Ovis aries: one gene and its partners. The protein of the gene in region 3 interacts with the protein of the main gene of each other region in a biochemical or structural test. Links are inferred from orthologs where the notes say so. Each region holds a gene or a part of one and is shown on either strand. Other genes may lie near its edges.

Region 1 (4,056 bases), on a different chromosome or scaffold from region 3:
CACACACCTGCAGGTTCTTCTGGAATATGACAGAGCTGAGGATGGGAAGCAAAGTTGTCCAGGAGCCTGCTCTCCTGCTCTACCACTTTCTTGTCAAAACTCAAGTCAAAGCAAGTCTGGTCGTGAATCCACCCTTCCCAGTTGCTCCAAAGGTATCTCTGTCAAGTAGGAGGAACTTATTTTACAGTTTGTTAGCTTTATTTATGAGTTAAATATTGAGAGTTAAAGTATGTGGGCTCCCTTTGTACACTTGCTTCTGTTCCTCAGATGTTTCGGGCCCTCTTGCTCTTGACTGTCAAGGCCAAAGCCAGAGGAAGAAGCTGGAGAATTGGATGGTTATGTGATTTTCCAAGACTGCGATTCTCTAGTGGTACTTTGCAAATCTGTAGAAACCAAAATACAAGCCCACGTGTATTTATCTATTACTGCTGACTGACATGGTGAAAATAAAAAGGAAATTAGTCCACAATGCTGGGTTTTCTGTGGCCTCCTTCTCCCAGTTTGCTAAGGGAAGGAGCAAGACAGTTTTCAGGGGTCCTCCTGGGACTTGGGAGGCCCCAAATTGGGAACCCCAAAGGCTCTTGAATTCCAAAGTCAGGGTTTGCGGTGGAAAACAAAACCAGCCAGTTGAACAGAGGACTGTCCATCTTCTCCCCACTCTGGGCATTTAAAGGAAAAAAAAGACTAAAGGGTTGGCATCCTTAGGGGTTTTAGCCTAGCTTTCTCTTCCCCTTTCCTCTCCTCTCTCCGCCCCCAAGTCCCTCCAGCTGAGTAAATTAACAAAGGAAACAAAAGTTGCTGAAAGAACTAGTTTAGAGAAAGCGATTTTCACTCGTGCTGTTGGCTGCCCTGAACCTGGACTAGAGTCTCTGGAGGGCACAGTCCCAAGACCGCCGTTTGCCCCTGTTCCTGCGCTGGCGGGCCGGGCTGGGCCGAGCGGCGCGGACCTACGGCGGGGGTAGGCCGGCTGCACTCCGCCCCCAGCCCCGCGCGCCGCCGGACGTCGCCCGTTTAAGGGGCGGGACGCGGCTCCACGTGCTTTCTGCTGAGTGACTGAACTACATAAACAGAGGCCGGGAAGGGGGCGGGGAAGGAGGGAGAGAACAGGCTTTGACCGATAGTAACCCCAGCGCTCAGCGCCGCCGAATCTATAAAAGGAACTAGTCGCGGCAAAACCCCGGTAATTCCGAGGCAGAGTGAGTGCTGCCGGGGCCGGCAGGGACGCGCCGACACCTCTCTACCCCGGCGCAGGTGGGCAGAACAGGGGGCGCCGTGCAACCAGCGCCGCCACAGCCAATTTCTCGGGGCGCTTTGCTCCCTTTACCCCCCTTCTTTTCCGAAGGGTTTTTCAAGGGGTTGGGGAAAGAACCACAAACACAAAAGTGGAAAACAGGTAAGAGTCTCTTCAGCGACTTGGACGTTATTGTTTCGTTTCGGGCCGAGGGGACTTTGGGAAGCTCTGGGTGTCGGGGACTTTAGTCCGAACCCCCACATCCCCACCTCCTGCAGCACAAACGGGCTCGTAAATGTGGAGAGGACGTCCTAGGAGGAGCTCTGGCGACCCAAAGACGCGACATCGCTGCGCTCAGGGTTCGCCCGCGGTGGAGCTCGGGGAGCATCTCTGGGCGCGCGGAGACCCGAGCGCAGTAGCTGGGGCGCAGTGGAATCGGGGGGCTCCTGGTGGTGCTGGAGGCGCTGCTGCCGGAGTAGGGAGAATGGGAGGTCTGGCACTGAGCTATTCCCTTTGTTTGGAAGCGCCTGAGCCGGTTGGAACCCTCTCTGGCTGCGGCTCGGCCGGCGCCCACCGGGAAAAATGCCAGCCGTCAGAATCCCCTCTGTTCGTAAGGCGCTAGTCCGGGTTGGGCTCTGATCTGGGGATAGGTCCCCCGCGCCCCTGGACTGGAGCAGCGCTTTCTGGCTCACCAAGAATGCGACTGGGAGGTGTCCCAAACAGAGTCCTTAGCGCTAGTGCTCTTTTGAGGCCTCGGGGGCTTTGTTTGATCAGGGGGTTCCTGTTCCATAGTCTCCATACGCTTCCAGGAGGTGCTGCCTCTGACGCTGTGGGAGGCTGGGGATGGGGGTAGGGGAGACGGGCGGGGCGGAGGGACGAGAGTTTTGTTTCTTTAACAAACGTTAGAAGGGTCCCTGCGGAAACCTGGAGCTGAGGTGACCATTCCCCTGCCCCCCCTTCCCCCCATCTTCCTGCCCTTTGCTGAGTGTCTCTTGGAGCAGCTTCAGGGAGGGCATGGATGGGGAAGCTAGGGCGAGACGGTGCAGCAGAATGACCGAGAGTAACCCCGGCAGGCGGTGCAGAGCTCGCAGCTCCGCGGGCGGGCTGTGCTTCGTGGTGGGGGGAGGGAGGGCTGAGCGCCGGCTGCCGGTGGCCACGGGGGGAACTGATCCACAGCGCCTCCTGGCCGGGTGGCCTGGGAATCGGCTCCTTGGCCCGAGTGAGGCCAGGCTGCAAGAGGCTTTGTCGCCTGCTATGGTTCCGACCGAGATCCAAGGAAGACGGGTGATTGTAGACTGGGAGGAAACCTGGGGATCAGGCGAAAGTGCTTCTGCTTGTGTTTTAGATTGCTTCCCAACTCCCAGAGAGTTGCTAAATGGAAGGTTCTTGGGGTGTGCGTGGGCCAGTATTGTGTGTAGGTGCTTGTTTTTCAGCACTCATCGAAAAGAAGGGAATAAACAAGATAAAAGAAAACAGGGAGAGAAGGAAAAAGGGAGAGAAAGAAATGTAGCCCTGGAAATAATTGGCCTTTGTCTTTTGCAAAAGCGATACCATCAGCTTTTAAAACCAGAACTTTTCAGTGAAACAAGGAAGTGAGTGCGTGGTATATACATTCATATAATAGACGATAAATTTGATATTTAAAAAATTCCTTGGTGATAAAAATCAGCAAGTCACTTCCTAAGGACCGATTCCCACCTCCCATCAAAGAACACCTCATAAAAATTTGCAAGTTCAAAAGCAGAGTTTTAATGGCCCTTTAAACAATAGTGTGGGACCCAAACCTAAGTTTCGATCTTTTCAGACAAAATTTAAAACACACCTAAAGAAGTACTTAGTTTTTTATCTCCCCTTTTATTTCAGCCCATTTTCCTCATACTTACTACGAAATTAATGGAGGCTTTCTGTTGTTCTTGTCATTCTCTTTGAGACACTTATCCTAAATCAAGGAAAGTGTGAGAGCAAAGGGAGAAGGTTCTGGAGTAGAACCTCTTCTGATGGTAAATAATTTTCAAGTACAAAGTCTTCCTTGTCAGCCTATTCCCCAAGTACTCCTTGTTTGTGTGTTTTTTTTTTTTAACTTTTAATTTTACATTAAAGTATAACTGATTAACAATATTTGATAGTTTCAGGTGACAACAAAGGAACTTAGTCACACATACATGTATCCATTCCCAAATGCTCCTTTTATAGGAGCTTTAATGCTTTATGCTTTAAGTTAATTCATGATAGAGTTTTGGGAAAACATTAGATACACAGAGCAAGAAGCGGTAGAATTGGAGTGACAGCCTTGGATGACCACAGTTCAAGGGGTAAGAATTGCTACTGCAGTCAGAGTGATTCTTGAGCCCCCTTGCAGGGACCAGCCTGTTGTTCCAGAATGATGTATCTGATTGTGAAATGGACGCTTGTGATATGTGTCTCCCCTTCAGATGAGCGTTTAAAATCTCAGCTCTCAATTTACATCTACATAGAGGCCTATAATGAACCCTGGATACCTCTTGACTTAGGGCATATTTACAGTTCATGTGAGACTAGCTTAGATTGGAAAAGGGTGATTAGGGTTTGATTGTTTCCAACCTCTGCTCTTAATGATTACATTATTAAAAATGAATGAAACCAAATAAAACTCACTGACACAGTTTTTTATCTTCTGTAGTATTTATCTTGTATGCAGAGAAGTTGTAATATTTTTCGTTTAAATTTTTTTTAGGGGATCTTCCTTCCCATAAGCTAAGTTGCTTATGCTATATCCCGCATGATTGTAAATTGTTAATACCTTTGCTATTTTTATTTTCAGCTCCTAAAAAATTAAATGGACATTG
Region 2 (4,375 bases), on a different chromosome or scaffold from region 3:
TGTTCGAAGTCTGGGCAGAGCAGGAACTTCTCAGACCACAGCCAGGCCTGGCCCCCAGGGAGGGGCTGGACTGTGCTGAAGCTGGAACCGCAGAGAGCCTCTGGGAGGAGAGGCACCATGGGGCCAGCTCCCCGGGCTTCCCTCTGCCTCTTGCAAAGGTCACTCTGGCCTGGGCTCAGCTTAGACAGAGGTCTGGCTGCCAGAAAAGCCAGTGGCAGTTAGGGGTATGGGAGACTGGGGGACGTTTTGGGGGACGGTTTCTGTGGATTCACTCAAGAGATTCTCTTGTTTGCCCCGGGGCAGGAGCTAATGAGCAAGAGGTGGGTCCTTTCTAGACACCTCCACTAGAGGTCACCACAGCCCCAGAGTGGAAGTGGGGGAGGGGGCTAAACTAAGGAACATCCCTCCCCCCCCCAACTTCGAGGGACAGATGTCTAGTCAGTGGGGTGGGGCAGTGTTGGTAGAGAAATGACCCTCAGGGCTGCTGTGTGGTCCAGCTAAGCAGCTGTGTTGGGGGGAGGAGCTCATGGGTGTGAGATGTGGGTGTGGGCATATAGACAGACACACACTTGATAAAATCCTAGTCACCAGAGACGTGCCTGGTGGTCCAGGGGCAAGAAACTCCGCACACTGGGGAAAGCACGGGGCCCAGGTTCGATCCCTGGTCAGGAAACTAGACCCCACACACCACAGCTGAGATCCCGTGCAATCAAATAAATAAATAAAATCAATATTTAAAAGAAATATAACGACCATAGGTACATATAGGTGGCCCTGTGTACATGTGAATGGAAGCATGTTACGTGGGCACAGACAAACACCCGGGTATAAATAACAGGCCTGAAATGCCCAGTTGCATGGGCATGACAGTGGTGTGTGCACACACTCGATACAACTGTAGTGTCTGGGATATGCAACATCTGTGCTCATCTGGGCAGAAGAGTGCACGTGGCTGCATGCGTGTAATAATACACATCTGTGCACAAACCTGCTGTGAGCGTGGGAGTGTGCCTATGTGAGTAGCAGGTATGCATTTGAATAAGTGTGACACGCAGTGGAAGCATTTGTGTGACTGTGTGAAGGGTATACTTTACGTGCCCAGCTGAGCATGTATGAGTGTGACAGTGGGCAGGGGGGAACGCAGCCGTGAGTGTGTAGAGTGTGCCAGCCAGTGTGTGTCCTGGGAGTGCTTCTGGGAACGAGTGTGAAAGGAGAGTCCTGTACAAGAATGAGCCTGTGGGCTCAGGCTCATGGCCACACAGTGGGCGTGTGTGCGTGGGTGTGTGTGAGAGAGTGGACGGACGTGTTGAGTGTGTCACGCTCTGGGTCAGCGGTCCCCCAGCCCAGGCAGTCCCAAGCCGAGCCCCGGGCACCCATGAGGCAAGCGCGGCCCAGGCTCCCACCTGAAGATTGGCCGGGTCCTCAGGTTTCACTCATGACCCTGTGACATCAGCGGCAGCAGCTGTCCCCGCCGGCCGGCCCCCCGGCCAAGTCCCCCAGAGTCTCAGCCCCAGCCCGAGGTGGGCACGCCGCTCCGAGCTTGTCTGCTCCCGTCCAACAGTGAGTACCGCGTCCCCGCCCTGAGCCCCGCCGGGCCAGGCACCCCAAAGGCAGGCCACCCCCAGGGGCCCAGTGCCCTGGCCCCCAGCCCAGCCTGGCTCTGAGGAAGTCACCGCTTTGCTCCAGGCACCACTGTCCTCCTGCCCACGCCGGGCCCCGCTCCGCGGACACCCTGCCCGAGCTCCTTGTGCCACGACCCCGGCCGGATCCCTGTGCTTGCCTCTCCCTGCCCAGTCGGCCTGTGCCCCTGTCTGGCTGGCCAGCCCTGCCCTCAGCCAGGGTCGTCGTCCTGATCACAGACGGCCCAGGGGCTAAGGCTCGGCTCCAGACGGGGTGACCCAAGGGACAGAGATGGGACTGAGTTTCTCAGGGGAGGAGGGTGGAGGGCCCAGAGCAGTGACTCGGCTCGGCCTGACCGCAGTGGCCCAGAAGGCAGGGCTGGCGGCGGGGAGGAGAGCGGGAGGCCGGCTGGGGGGTGGCGGCGGCTCCTTTGCTCTGCTGGAGCAGGAATCTGCGAGATGCCAGCAGAGGACACATCTCGGGCTGAGAGGCCGGCTGGGCTCTGCCCACTGCCCCTGCCTCTCCCTGCCGCGGGGCACACTTGGGCTCCTCTCCTGGAGAAACCAAGGGGGAGGTGGGCAGAGGAGCAGCTCCTCTTAGTGAAGGGGGTGTGGGGACAGGGAGCCAGAGAGTCCAGGGTGAGGGGCATCCCACATGGGGCCGCCGCACTGAAGGGTCTCTGCGGGACTCAGAAGGAGACTGGGGCTGGGGTCAGTGGGCTGGAGTGAAGGGGCAGGGGTGCGTCACCAGGGCAGAGCACAGACACCCCTCCCCCCTTCGCTGACAGAGCTGGGCACCCAGGACCCTAGGAGGGAGCGTGGGCAGGGGCTGGCCAAGAAGGCCTGATGGTCTGAGCAGAGATGAGAGAAGGTGTTTTTGGAAGCTCATGGAGCTGAAGGGAGGTGTGTTTTGTGTGTGTTGGAGGAGTTTGTTCAAAAGGTCGAAGATGCCACATCTAGAAGGCCTGGGGAGGGGGGTGGGACGGGAGGCTTCCAAGAATGTACTGGTAGGGGCAGGGGGCCCTGAGCCCCTTCCCACTCCGCCCCGTCAAGTACTGTGTCCCACTGCCCCTCACCCTGCTCAGGGCATGGGGTCAGGGCAGGGGGCCAGGTCCTGATGAGAGCTTGTGACACCCCGCTGTGGGGAGATGGCTTTCCAGGTGGAGACTAGACAGGTCCGCCTCCGACTTATACTGTCTGCTGCAGGCGTCTGCCCCAGAGCCCAGGAAGGCTAGAGCCCAGGGGAGCCTTGACATGATGTAATTGTCGCTCTCTCTTGTCCGCCTCTTTGCGACCACATGGACTGTAGCCCACCAGGTTCCTCTGTCCATGGGATTCTCCAGGCAAGAATACTAGAGTAGGTTGTGATGCTTTCCTCCAGGGGATCCCCCAACCCAGGGATCAAACCTGCGTCTCCTGTATCTCCTGCACTGCAGGCAGGTACCTTACCGCTGAGCCACCTGGGAAGGCTTGAAGGCCATTTAATTCGGCCCCTAAAGATGCGCCAGGTCGGGGAGGGCAGCGAGAGACCAGTTTCCGTGTCTGTCTAGTCTGGTGAGGGGAGGAGGCTGACAGAAGTTAGGGCAGAACAAGAGGTGAGCGTTGTTGTCACTTGTCTAGGGCGGCAGTGACTGAACCCAGGTGTGCAGAGCTGGGGTTGGGGGCAGGTGTCAGAGGGCTGCTTCTCCCAGAACCCTCCAGCTTTTTCCAGGGTCATAGCTAGTCCCCTGCTCGTGGCCAGTGGTGTGGATGATTATACACACTGCACCAGGATTTGGAGCCACGTTCCCTGTGTGGGGTGATGCAGGGGCCCAGACATAGCCCAAGGCCCACTCCATCTTCATGCCTGGCAGCTCTCAGGGGATGGGAGGGGTTTGGGGAAGGTACTTAAGGGTCCTTCCTAGGTGGTCCCATCCCTGCCTGGCTTCCTTGTCATTCTTGCATCGGGACCTGCTTAGGGTGGAGGCTCAGGACTCAGGGTCGCCTCCAGCTCTAGACTGGCCTGAGTGTCAAAGTCTGCCCAGCCGGCTTCCCTGCCCTGACCCACCCAGGCCCAAGGGTAGGGGAGCCCTGAAGCTCATGCTGAAGGCATTGAACTCCTGGCCAGATGCTGGAGGTGGTCCTGACAAAGTCCCTGCCTTTGGGGGCAACTCTGTCCACCAGAACAGAGAAAAGCATGGGTGATGGCAGGAAAGGGTGGGTTTAGAGAAGGCTCCCAGGGGAGGCAAGGCAGAGAGGAGAGAAGGGATTGGACCCTCCAGACCAGTGGGAAGTCTCACTCTCTCCAGGTGATAGGAGAGATGCCTAGAGGGAAAGATCTGAGCCCAGGGGCCTTGGCGAGCAGGTAGAGAGAAGGCGGGGGCAGGAGGAGGGAGCGTCAGCAGCCCCAGTCCACATGACACAGACCTCTGTCCCTCGAGTCCTCTTAGAGGGAAGGCTCAGGTTCAGAGGGCCCTGTCACTTACCTGGGGCACAAGGCTTGTGAGGGGCCACGGCCCCTACTCCCTGGGGCAGAGCTCGCCCCCGAGACCCTGGGGGCAGTGGGTCCCCGGTTGCATCCCTAGGGGTCCCCAACTCTGCAGTGGCAGGAACAGGCCCAGACTCCCCACGGCTCCACTGGAAGGTGCTCGTGGGGCTGGGGAATCCCAGGGTCTCTCCGCCTCCGCCACCCCAGCCCCAGGCCTTTCATGTGCTCTGGCCCCCATTCTGCCTCGTCAGCACAGCTATTTTTATTCCCTACAGTTTTCAGTCAACAG
Region 3 (3,583 bases):
TTTGAGATGTGTTTTCAGAAATGTGTAATCATCAACTTAACTCACAGCTTGAAGTTTAAACTCAAGTGTGAATGTACAACTCTATCTTTAAATGAACAAGTACATTACAGATGAAAAAGCTAAAGTGCAAGACTCAAAGACTCTGAATTTAATAATAACAAGCAAAAGATATTACTGATCAAGAATTTGTAAAAAACAATTGCTCTAGATGACTATAAAGATTATCCCTGAGTTAATAACCCCGTGGCTTCAGCTAGAAAGAGCACCAGAAAAGCAGGGCTTACTAGCCATCATCTCCTCTCTCCCTGTTTCAGACTGCTAAGTTACAAAACGATTGCTGCCACTAACGTGTAACACAGAAACCCAGTGGCAGCAGGTGACAGAGGACAGCAAGATGAGTGAGGTCCAGGCAGAGCAAAGTGAACCCCGGATACTGCTTCTATCCGAGAGAACAACAGACTAAAGCCAGGAGTGTATGAAACAGCAGTAGGGGACTGGGGGTGGTAAGAAAGGGGACGCTCAAGTCAAAAGCAAAGGACCCAGAAGCAGGGTCAGTATGGAAATAAAACTATGTGGGAGAGAATAAGCTCTACAAAGGGAGAAAGGTCTTTTCAGGATGGAAGGGCAGAGGAAATATTTACTTAGAGGTCATGCTACCACCTCAAGTTGTTATGGAAAGACAAATTTTATAACAGCCAGAGTTATTCTGTTCTTTCTCCTTTTCTGTCCTTCTTATCTCCTACCCTTAACTTTCATTAAGAATAAACCTTCCTTCTTCCCACAAATGATTAGGTGGGTGTTAATGGATTTGGGTTTTGCCTTTTCACTGGTACTTATTGCAATCTCTCCTGCCTCACATTTAATCATATTCTGCAAATTACGATTAAACTTAGTTCCAGGTATTTATTTGCCAACTCTCAGTCACTAAAGTGAAAATTATTTTTTTAATTTAAATTTATTTATTTTAATTGGAGGCTAATTCCTACAACCCCTCTATGTATTATGCATGGCACAGCATTAAAACTCTGAGTTAGGGAAAGCAAGCTAATTTTGAGAGAGCACTGCAGAGAAAAAGAATTTTTAAAAAACCTCTTCAACTCCTATTGCTCATCCCTTTTTACATAAATAAGAGCTGACTACACCTTTAGTTATGACCACTGAAACTTAAAGAGGTAAAGCCTAAATCAGCTTTGCAGAGCTTTACAACTAAGCCATGGAAGAACTGGGAGGTAATCAAGGTATTTAACCCACAGTACAGATTTATTTTCTAGAACTGTTAACACATTATTGACCCAGGGATTCTTGCAGAAACTAATGCCTGTGGCAGGTGATTTGTTATGCAAGTGGATATTCAAACACTCTGGTCAATAACACTTGGGTAACGTGAAATGTGGGCTTCTTTCTCATTTATGTACTGAAGTACTGATCTACTGCAGGTACTCACTCGAAAAGTGTGCCCACCAGAACCTCTTCCGTCTGCAACACTCAAGGCGAGACTGCCCTGGCTGCCATGCAGATCCCTAGAGCTGCCATAGTGAAAGTTGCTTACAGCAGTAAAATTGGAATTAAAGGACCTTGACAGCATGCTCTGAATAAAGAGGGGATAGATTTAACAGAGATTAGTGTAGCATGCAAAATTCACAAGACACGTTATACACATAGACATATATACAAGTAACCCCCAGATCACGCAGGAATACCATGCAACACTGAATTTTCAGAGACACTGAAAGAAATTGGCACCATTTACCATATATTTACATGAAAACATATATGTATACATACATAAATTATATGTAAACCCAACCATTTACATGTTTAAACACCAAAACAGAAAGTGCAAACATACAGCTGGCTCTTAGGCTATTATTTTTTACTTCTAACCTATCTTATTAGAAGTTCATCAGAAAATAGGAATTGATGTCACATCCAGATGTATTTGTATGTATATGGTTACACAGAATACAAACTAATTTCTTTGTAAAGACAAACTTTACCAACACTCAGTTATTTCTAACTCAAAATGGTTTTATAGAGAGAATGTTTCATTCTATAGAAATTGTCTTATTAAGTAAATGGAGAGTTTAAATATATATAATATAGCACAAAATGTATTTGCAAAAAAATACTTGGCTCTTGTAATTTCTAATAAAAATTACCTTTCACACTTAAAAAATGTCTTAAAGAAAAGTTTAACACACACACAGACTTTTAGGGTATAATATTTAAAAGGCTCCTAATGCTCTGCAATTATCAGGAAAAAAAATTCCAATAAATCTAGAAAATGAACATGCAAAACTCTTTTCCCATTCAAATAGATATTAAAGGTGACTGTATTTTTTGAAGTCAGTAGTGGCTCTGCTGTTTAACCTTGAAGAAGCCTTCAAGTTTCACTGATAGATGCCTTCCATGACTGAGTTTACATAAATGCCTAATCGCCAATCCCAGAGTTGCCTGAACAATGTACTTCAATAAAAGCACTGCCTGATTCTTCCTGTTCTTGCTTGGTTATTCCCGGAGTTCACTATTAATAGTCCTTTCACATGTGGATGCTTTTAGTCATGTCCCTAAACACTGAAGGTCTGATGGTCAAACCAAGAGAAACCTCATTTTGAACATGGCTTCTTAGTAAGAAATACACAAACGCTTGTTATGGCCATAATAAGCATTTCTGTATTACTCTTAGGAAGAATTTACTTTCTCCAGATTATGAAGTTGATCTCTTATACAAAGAAACAATATGACATTTCAGAATGAAAAGAATCTATAAAACTACAATGAACAAATTTAGGTATTTTGTGAATTCTAAAGTAGAGACCAAGGAAAAAGCTGAATAGACCAGGCTCGTACTTTCTCAAAGCATTTCACAAAGAATAAGGATTTGGCAGAGGCAATTCATAGGTTCCCCAAACGTCTGATTAAAAAGTAAAAATAAATTATACACATAATCACACAGAAACATGTAAAAAACACACGTCCATGCATTGTAACACAGTTTTACATGTTAACTTGAGTGGTCTGATTGACTCTTTTTAATAATATATTAATCTTGGAACAAAGTCTTTGCTGTCATCTTTGAACATATATGAGGTTTTTATAAATATTTCACTGAGAAAGAAGGCTACAAGTTAGGAATAGGTCTGACTTTGAATTTAGGCCTGTACAGAGACATCCACATAAAACTGCACCCTATCCAAACACATCAACACACTGTGCAAAGTTCAATTAAGTGCTGAACACATGTCCTGGACATTGTTTACTACATGCTAATAGTTGTATAACAGCAAGTAAAAATGGAAATCATCATGTTGTACTAATCACATGGAGTGCTTATCAGTTTTTAATATAATAAGGAATACTGGCAAATGTTGACATTAGGAATAATTTTACACAGTTTTATTCCTTTGCAATATCTGTTGATATGTTTAATTCAGTCAGTCTTGAGATTTCTGAGGTAAGATCTATTTTCTATGTTTGTGTTCCAGGTACAGTTTTTGGTGAAGTTGGGAAGAAGGGGTTACTACTTAAAAAAGCCAAGTAAGCTTCAATGACTAATTGCTTACTGTTTTACTATTAAACTCCC
Region 4 (4,199 bases), on a different chromosome or scaffold from region 3:
AGCACACGTGACACACGTCTGCACCAGACGGGGTGAGAGCGACGGCACGGGCGCCCTGGAGACACGGCCCCGGCCCGTGTCGGCCCCGGCCCGTGTCTGCACGGGGCGTGTGGAGCCCCGCACTCCCGCCGCGATGACCGAGCATCGCCACCTGGTGGACGGAGCAGAAGCAGCCTCCGACCCCGGAAACAGACGCCTCCAGCCTCGCGTGGGGTCTGTATCTACCGAAGCTGCTCCTGCCTGTGGCCCGAGCGCACGTCCAGCCCCAGGACAGCGCATCAGCCGTGGTCCTGGCAGCCAGGGGTGGCTGGGCTGGGCCGGGGCATGGAGTCACGGGGGAAGCACGGTTCTCAGAGCCAGCCTGGCCGCTCACAGCCGGCCACCCTCTTGCTGAGTGCTCACATCAAGCCCATCCCTTCACGGGGCGGGGCGGGGCGGGGGGGGGGGGGGTTTGCCGGCAGGAGCAGCGTGCTGCCTGACGGACAACCTTCATGAGATGCCACAGATCTCCTCCTGCAAGGCCTGCTCCGGGTGGAGTGCTGACGTCCGTCTGAGCCCACCTCTGCTCCAGAATCCAGACCTCCACCCTTGTCTACACTCACTCACCCGGGTCCTAATTCAGCTTGACCTGAGGTGCTGCCATTGCAACCGCCAAGAGTCTCCACTGCAAGCCAAGGTCAAGCACAGAAGCCCAGCCTAGAGCTGTGGGCGCCTGAGGGCCCTGGGAGTGGTCCCTCGGGCCCACTCCTCCCCACACAGTGAGGGCAGAGCGCCCCCATCCGAGGGGCCAGGACAGCCCATGAGTGCACCCGTGGACGAGGCCACTCTGCTGCTCGCTCAGGCAGAGGAGGGGAAGCACCAAGACACACGGGGACCCGAAAAGGAAGAGCTGCTCTGACAAGGAAAAAGAATAGCATCGCAGCAAAGCCACAGCCAAGAGCTTAGCGCGGTCCTTTTCTAAGCTCCTGCCTGCTGACAGGAGGGCGCGGTCTCTGCCCGTGGCTTCCCCTCCCCTCAGGTTCAGCAGAAAGACACTTACCTGCTGTTACTTTATTCAGCGTCACTAAGGAGCTGAGGACCTTGTTGAAATTCTGCCCCTGATACAAATCGTTTGCATCAAACGTCTGCAAGGGAAAGAGAATAAGCAGAATTAGCCGAGCCCGGCACTGGCGGGGCGTGGCAGTCTGTGCAGCGGGAGGAAGACAGTGGGCTTTGCAGGTGAGACCCGGGCAAGGGCACCCGAGGAGCTCAGCTTCCAGGAGGCCGGGCCACTCTGCTCCTGGGGCTGAGTCCAGTTCTGAACCACCCTGCCCCACCCTCCCAGCGACCTGGGGCACTCCTGGCACTCAGAGAGGGCTCTTCTCCTTAGACTGAGGCCAAGGCTGCTGGGCATGCCTACGACAGACTTCCTCTCCCGGTCACAGCCCAGGCCAAAGTCAGGAGCAGCCAAAGGGAAGCCCAGATGCTGGAGTGGACACAAGGGTCGAGGGAGAGGAAGCGGGGAGCCAGACTCCAGAAAGAGGGGCGCCTCCACCCCAGAGACCAGGGACACAACCGCACTGGCCCAGCCCCGCCCGCCCAGGAGCTGGAAGAGAATGCACGTCGGGCTGCCCAGACAGAGCGCCACGGTCTCGGACGTGTGCACAGACACCACGGGCTGAGACACACACACCTCACTCCCAAACGCTGTCTGAAGATCACACACAGCTTTGGATCACTAAATAACAACAACTCCCCACCAAAAAATTTAACCATCAGATGATCCACAACTTGTGCCAGAGAAAGTAGGGAAAGAAAATTCTTTCAGAGATGCAGGTAACAGAAAGATGTGTTCATATGTCAAAATGAAAACTAGGATAACATACTTCAAAGATTCTCTCACCGGGGCAAAAGTGACCTCCGGCGGCCAGCCATCCCAGGAACGGCGTCCTCTGCAGGTCGCCCCAGCTGGTTCACGGTTCCTGCGTCTCACATCCTGCCAGGAAGCCCGGCTCCTCTTCCTGCCTCCCACCCCCTGCGCAGCCCCGGAGGATTCAGCACACTGCACAGTCCCCGCACAGGCCGCTGCAGAAACTGAAACCCGCCCCGCAGCCCTCACCCCCCACATCCAGAGAACAGCCCGCACACAGTAAGAAGGCAGCAACCCGCCCGGCTCCCACCATCCCACCTCCCCGCCACGGCTCGGAAGGTCTCTGTGAGGACAGACCCAGGACACAGGGCTGCTCCAAATCTCGACAGTCACTGCCGTCTCTGGCCCACTCTCCTGCTTTACCTTCTGAGATGAGTAAACATCCTCGTGAGGTGAGCTTAGACGTGAACCAAAGAAAGAAAATCCAAGAGCTGAACAAACCAGCTCCAGAAAGGAGGCCATTAAACCCAAGTTGAGAGAGGAACGCAAACAGAGCTGGGAGAGGGGAAGAGTCGTGAACTCAGACAGCCAAGCACTCTGCGACACTGCTCACACCTTTCTCGCAGATGGAGCAGGAGATAAAACGTTCGTGATGCCAGATCCTGCCCGCCTATGAAAACGAGTACCCCTTAGGACAGTCTCTGGAATCCCCGTGATTCCAAGATTCAAGTCAGAGGAGACCGTGATTCAGGCAGGCGTGTGCAGCTACATCTGCAATGGGCTGGCTGAGTTCTTTATTAAAAGGAGGGCCCTGAACAGGCCTCCACTCCCTTCTGTCAGAACACAAAAGCTCCTTCTCCTGGAAAAGGTGGGAGGAGGCAGTCTCAGCTCTCAGGTCCTAATTCCAGAGCTTGGAAAATTCAAATTGTAGTATTCTGCAAGAAAAAATATACATAAAAGTATCTACTAACCTTCATCGTGGTAAGGCAGAGAGTCACAAAACCCAGAAAAACAGGATGTTGAAAGCTGAAGTTTCCTGTTATTCCAGAACTATATATCTTACTTGGACACCAGGAAGCGTCTGGTTGGCTGAAGCAGCCCACCAATGGGCTCCAAAGTGATGTCAGAACTTAAGTGAATTCACACACACACCACACTTCTCAACAGGAAGCTACACAATGAGACCAGACAAGCGCCTGCCACCGAGAGGGGAAGACGCACATTCTGAGTCAAAGATGTTTTGACTAAAGGGCTTCTCTAGAGAAAGATAACCAATTACTTCCTGAAACAGGAATGTATTCAACAGAAGAAAAAAATCTTAGGGTTCAGAGAAAGTGGGAATAACAGTGCACAGTTACCCCGGGGCACTCACGCTTCGGAGACAAGCCTGCCCGCCCGTGGACCCTCTGCCAGTGGTCACCTCAGTCCATCAGGGCACCGAGGCTCCCAGACAGAAGTCCACCCGCCCAGCCCCACCTGTGCAGCAGAGAAGGCAGGTTCTCGAGCACCCAGCGCCCGGAGCCGCCGAGCGCACGGGAGGGCTAAGGCGGACCGTCACGCGCCTGAGCCGAACTCGACCTCCCAGCCGTCACGCTCGCTCCCTACACCACCCTCTGACACGCTCTTTCCTTACACTTAGCATCACACGTGGTATCAGGCTTGGTCCCTGAACTAACACCGGACACAGGAGGGCTCACCCATCCCTGAGGAGGAGATGAGGCGCCACACGCCAGCCGCCACCAGCACCCACGGCGGGGCGATTCGGTCAGGGTGGCCCGCCCGCCAGAGCAGGAGCTCTGAGGCCCCCGGCCAGAGGATGACCACGCCGCCCTCCGGCTCCCGTCTGACTGCAGTCTCCCAGCCTCCGCTCGGCCCCTCCCCAGGCGCAGGGTGGGCGCCCCGACCCGCTGTCCTGCCGCTGGCCAACAAGAGCCAGCCCAAGCAGCCACTCTGAACAGGACACTGCCCTCACGTCCCAGCAGAAGCTTCAGGAACCTTCCAGCATAAGCAGGGCACGGCGCTCGGGAACTTCTCCCCCGGCCTGAACCCCAGGATAAAGAGGCCACTCAGCACACCCACGCCGTCTCCACAGCCAGCACAACGGGCAGGACACGCCTGCCGAGTGGTCAGCCACGGAGTCGTGCAGGCTGCTGGTGGGCAAGCCTCCTCTGGGTAAGAGCAGGACATAAACCCACGTCTCCCCCAGTAGAGCTGGCTCCTGAAGAGAGAGTACAGCTGCTCCACAGACCTGCTCAGGGAATCTCCCAGAAAGACCCCAGGTCCCCGGCTCGCCCTCAGAGGGCTCGGGCTCTCTCAGGAGACGTCCCCTCTCCCCCTCGCGTCGGCACCT
Region 5 (4,336 bases), on a different chromosome or scaffold from region 3:
TTTCCAGGTCAAGGAGGGCTGCCCACTGAGTGATCAGCCCCTGCTGCTCCCTGCAGCTCAGGCTGGGAAGGCCCAGGCCCCACTGGGGACCAGGCAGAGTGTCCCTAGTCTGGGGACATCCCGTGCCTTTGCCCCGGGCCTTGGGAGGGCTGTGGGGATCATCTGGGAGCTGGGCCTGCAGAGAGGCCTGGTCAGCTCGGCTGCTTGGCCTCAAGTCTTGGAGGACCCCCAGAGACTAGACTGCGCTGAGTCCTGGGGGCGGGGCAGGAGCAGCAGAACCCTTCTGGAGCCCTGTACCTCAATGCCTGGAGTCAGGGGGTCAGCTGGGGGCTTCCTGGAGGAGGCAGGTGGGGTACCACAGGACATGAGGGGCACGGGCAAACGTGATTGTGGCTCCAGGGATCCCAGGCTACGGCCGTGGACCAGCCTGCAGCTCCTGAGCGCCGGCTCGCTGCGGTGGAGCAGGTATAAAGCTGCTCGGGCCAGCGAGCTGCAGGGTTGCTGATCAATGGCGTAGGGCACAGAAGGTGGCTGGGGCCCCCGGGCATCTTGTAACCCCGCTGTGTCTCAGGCCTGGGTCACTGGGCTGGGGGAGCGGATGGAGGAGGCTCTGACGCATGAAACGATAATGCCCCCTTCTAAAGTTAAGTGGGTGCCCCTTCGCCTTGGGGGTCGGACGTACCTTCCTGAGGCGAGTGAGCCGCTCTGGCTGTGTTTTAAAGAGTAAACCTGGGGCCTGGGCTGGATGGGGCGGGACCTGCACGGCACCTTGCACATCTCTGGGCAGTCTCCCCAGCCAGGTGGGGGGCCTGCAGGACCACCCTCTGCTCCAGCGTGGTAGGTGCCCTGAGTTTGGGAGAGGGAATCAGCTTCTTCACAGGGAAAGGGGGATAGAGGCAAGATGGGTGGAACGGAGCTGGCGGTGGGAGGGTCAGCCCAGGGTGAAGGGGCATCCTGGGGTGGGCAGTTGGTGCTCCAGTGCTCAGGTCAGGTCAGGTGCCTCAGGGTGGGAGTTCTCTGGTGCAGGGAGGAAGTTGGCGGGACTGCTGGACGGTGATTTGGGGATGGGGGTAGAAGCTGACAAGCTCAGGCGGCCAGGACGGGCCAGCGCCCCGGGGCGCGGCGGGAAGGAGGAAACACGAGACCCACGGGCTTCCCGCAGAGACACCGCGCGCTCGGCCCGGGGAGTCCAGCCCGAGGGCGGAGCGCGGAGGCAGGCCGGTCCGGGCGCCGCGTCGGCTCCGGGCCCGGGGCCGCCCTGAGCGGCGGCGCTCCCCTCCCCCGCCTCCGGCCTCGCGGGCGGCGCCGCCTCAGGTTTCCGGAGGGGCCGCAGGGCGGCGGCGCGGGGCCGGGGGGAGGGCGGGGGCGTCACGTGCGCCCGGGCCCCGGGCCGGTTGGTCATGCCGCAGGGGAGGGGCCGCGGGCGGCCCAGGCGGGGGCCGGGGTCGGAGCTCCGGACGGGACAGCCAGGAGCCGGGTTCCCCGGCGGCGGCGGCGGCGGCGGCCCCGGGTGCGCGCCGGGTCCCCCCGTGGATTCCGGGCCCCCGGCCCTCGAGGCACGGGGTCCGCGGCGGGGGCGGTGCCCGGCCAGCCATGAGCTCCCCGTCGCCCGCCCGCAAGGGCTTTTATCGCCAGGAGGTGACCAAGACGGCCTGGGAGGTGCGCGTCGTGTACCAGGATCTGCAGCCCGTGGGCTCCGGCGCCTACGGCGCCGTGTGGTGAGTGCAGGCCGGGCGGGGCGGCCGGGCGTGGGGTGTCCCGGCCCCTCGCTGAGCTGTGCGCCCCGCAGCTCGGCGGTGGACAGCCGCACGGGCGCCAAGGTGGCCATCAAGAAGCTGTACCGGCCCTTCCAGTCCGAGCTGTTCGCCAAGCGCGCCTACCGCGAGCTGCGCCTGCTGAAGCACATGCGCCACGAGAACGTGAGTCCCGCCCGGGCCGCCGCTCCGCTCCCCGCCGCCGGCTCCAGGCCCCCGCCGGCTCCAGGCCCCCGCCGGCTCCAGGCCCCCGCCCGGGAGACCCCTGGGCCGCTCTTGGGGTGGCGGGGCGGGGGCCGTGGGTCGGGCCGTGTCCCTGAGCGTGCGGGGTCGAGAGGACAGCTTCCTGGTTTCTCGACCGCTCCGCCTGGGCCAGTCCCGCGGCCGCCTCTGGCTCTTCGGCCCAGGGCCTGCTTGCGGATGGCCCAGGCCGCGGCGCTCCAGCCCTGCTCGCTGGCAACCTTGACTTGAGCCCCGGGGACCTCAGCGGGTAGGAGGGGTTTTCCTGGAAGGTCCCCCTCCCCGCGCTGGCCGGCTGCCCCCTCCCTGCTTCTCCAGCTCCTCTCCTTACCCAAGTCTGCCTCCTGAGCCCCTGGGGCTGCGGCAGCTGGGAATGTGGAGGAAGGCAGAATTAGAGTTGTCAGCTCCCTCAGAGCGCCTGGGTCTCTGACGGTGAAGGGGTTCAGTGAGCTGTGTGTGGAGGGCACCGGGCACCCACAGGCACACAGACCCTTCCTGTGACGCCCACGCCCACAGTGTGAGGAAGGGCCGGCCACCACCGGGGAGGGGTCTCCTCTGTTTCCAGACCTGCCCACAGGAGACCCCACGAGGCTGCCACAAGCCTCTGCCTGCACAGTGCGGGCCGCAGAGGGCCCTTCCGTTCTCGTCCATGCAGTTCCTCCTGTGACCCTGAAAGCTGCCCGCTTCCCCGCCCGCAAGCCTCTCCTGCCCAGTCTGAGGGTGACCTGGGTGCCCAGACCCTGGCCAGTCATGGCGGGCTGGCACCTCCTGGTCCGCACGTCCACCAGGAAACTCCCCTCAGCTCCAGGGCCCACCCACTCAGGGCCTCGGGTGGGTCCTGCTCTCATTCCCGGGTGGAATCCCCTTTGTGGAGGATACCCGCCGAGCGCCAGCGTTGCTACCTGCAGGCCACACCTGCTCACACGTGGGACTTGTCCACGTGAGGACCGACCCCTCTGCAGTGCCTTCCTGTGGTCCCCTCCCTCCCAGCCATGCTCCCCGCCTTGCCCCGGCCTGTCCACTCTCTCCCTGGGCTCCTGCCCTGTGGCCTCCCAGCCCTGTCCTTTCTCCGGCCTCCCCACTGCTGCTGCTCTCTGCCTTCCCCCAGACCTCCTGACTGCCCCCCTGCTGCCCCCCTTAGCTGGGAGGCTCTGCCTTTCATGACCCCGTGTTCCTGGGAAGAAATGGTCTCCGAGAGGCTGAGGCGTGCCCCAGTCCTGCCCGTCCTGTGCCCACCTCCCCCCCTTTACCCCAGCCCCTCACCTCCAGCACTGGCCTCCCTGTGCAAGGCAGAGGCCTGGAAGTTTCCATCAATCTGACATACCTCCCCCGAACCTCCGGGATCCTTGCTGAAACCACGTCCTGACACTTCTCCTGCCTCTGGCCCCTCTCTGAGTGTCCCCGCCTCTTCACCCAGGTCTGGCCCTGGAGGCTGCGGCAGTCATGGAGGTGTCCCTCCGCCTCGTGTCCACTGTGTCCCTGCACCGCAGCCAGGGCCGCACCCAGCGGCATGCCCGCCTAGCGCCCTGCGGTGGCTCCTGGGATCCGGGCAGCCCTCACTTGGTGTCTTGGGCCCTCTCGGTTTCCTCGGCTTCTCCTTGGCGGCTCCCTGGCCTGGTTCTTGGCCACCTGGCCTCTCTCCCGTGTTCCTCAAGTGCTCTGAGCCCTCTGTCTCCTGCCTCGGCCACCACTCGTGTGGCCTCTGCCAGGCCTGCCCCCTGCCAGCACGCCCACCTGTCCCTCCAGCCGCTTGGATGTGCAGGCTTCACGGGGTCCCTGGAGGCCTGGGTGCCAGCTGTCACACTTCCCATGTGCTCTGTCGCCCCCCGAGGGGAGGCCTGCGGGGCTGTGAGTTTGCTCCTAGTGCTGCCTGCCTGGACCCGTCTGGCAGAGGCATGGTCCCTGCTAAGGGCTGGCTGCCCCCATGCTGGTCCTGGGTCTTCAGCAGGGACAGGAAGAGCGGGGAGGACAGGCCAAGGGCTGAGCTCCTTCGATGGCTGGGGGCTGCCCTGGACTTGAGGCTGCCCCTCCCCCAGAGGGTGCCCGCGGTCTCCATCCAGAAATAGCCTTTGTCTGTGGGCATGTTTACCAGAGCAAGGTAGAGCTGCCAGTGGGCAGAGCTGGGCGCATGGGCAGCTGCAGGGGTGCCTGAGCCCCCGCCCACCCGGCGCTTGGCCTCCTCCCCAGGTGATTGGGCTGCTGGACGTGTTCACGCCCGATGAGACACTGGATGACTTCACGGACTTGTGAGTGCCAGCCCGGGGCTGGCCGGGTAGGGAGCTGGTGTTGGGTGACTCCTGGGTGTCAACTTCAGGTTTGGGGTTGGCGGGGGCCCCTTGAGG

The links.
Region 1: the proteins of ERBIN (region 3) and ABCA1 interact in a test that uses a peptide from one of them, tested with the Homo sapiens proteins (2 studies listed by BioGRID and IntAct). The link is inferred for Ovis aries from reciprocal best matches to the Homo sapiens genes ERBIN and ABCA1.
Region 2: the proteins of ERBIN (region 3) and SCN4A interact in a test that uses a peptide from one of them, tested with the Homo sapiens proteins (2 studies listed by BioGRID and IntAct). The link is inferred for Ovis aries from reciprocal best matches to the Homo sapiens genes ERBIN and SCN4A.
Region 4: the proteins of ERBIN (region 3) and ARHGEF7 interact in a test that uses a peptide from one of them, tested with the Homo sapiens proteins (2 studies listed by BioGRID and IntAct). The link is inferred for Ovis aries from reciprocal best matches to the Homo sapiens genes ERBIN and ARHGEF7.
Region 5: the proteins of ERBIN (region 3) and MAPK12 interact in a test that uses a peptide from one of them, tested with the Homo sapiens proteins (2 studies listed by BioGRID and IntAct). The link is inferred for Ovis aries from reciprocal best matches to the Homo sapiens genes ERBIN and MAPK12.

The regions. Positions count from the first base shown.
Region 1 is NC_056055.1:18,101,136-18,105,191, forward strand, and holds the start of ABCA1 (phospholipid-transporting ATPase ABCA1), read left to right. Parts: upstream 1-1,179; 5' UTR 1,180-1,251; exon of another isoform or gene 1,252-1,393; intron 1,394-4,056. UniProt on the Homo sapiens protein: Catalyzes the translocation of specific phospholipids from the cytoplasmic to the extracellular/lumenal leaflet of membrane coupled to the hydrolysis of ATP.
Region 2 is NC_056064.1:47,920,284-47,924,658, reverse strand, and holds the start of SCN4A (sodium channel protein type 4 subunit alpha), read left to right. Parts: upstream 1-1,498; 5' UTR 1,499-1,560; intron 1,561-4,375. UniProt on the Homo sapiens protein: Pore-forming subunit of Nav1.4, a voltage-gated sodium (Nav) channel that directly mediates the depolarizing phase of action potentials in excitable membranes.
Region 3 is NC_056069.1:13,661,017-13,664,599, forward strand, and holds part of ERBIN (erbin), read right to left. Parts: intron 1,589-3,583; coding exon 1,445-1,588; intron 1-1,444. UniProt on the Homo sapiens protein: Acts as an adapter for the receptor ERBB2, in epithelia. By binding the unphosphorylated 'Tyr-1248' of receptor ERBB2, it may contribute to stabilize this unphosphorylated state.
Region 4 is NC_056063.1:84,832,227-84,836,425, reverse strand, and holds the start of ARHGEF7 (rho guanine nucleotide exchange factor 7), read right to left. Parts: upstream 2,878-4,199; 5' UTR 2,827-2,877; coding exon of another isoform or gene 2,821-2,826; 5' UTR 2,372-2,820; coding exon 1,883-2,371; intron 1,125-1,882; coding exon 1,040-1,124; intron 1-1,039. UniProt on the Homo sapiens protein: Acts as a RAC1 guanine nucleotide exchange factor (GEF) and can induce membrane ruffling. Functions in cell migration, attachment and cell spreading. Promotes targeting of RAC1 to focal adhesions. May function as a positive regulator of apoptosis.
Region 5 is NC_056056.1:225,546,902-225,551,237, reverse strand, and holds the start of MAPK12 (mitogen-activated protein kinase 12), read left to right. Parts: upstream 1-1,459; 5' UTR 1,460-1,593; coding exon 1,594-1,718; intron 1,719-1,789; coding exon 1,790-1,919; intron 1,920-3,930; exon of another isoform or gene 3,931-3,987; coding exon of another isoform or gene 3,988-4,092; intron 4,093-4,181; coding exon 4,182-4,240; intron 4,241-4,336. UniProt on the Homo sapiens protein: Serine/threonine kinase which acts as an essential component of the MAP kinase signal transduction pathway.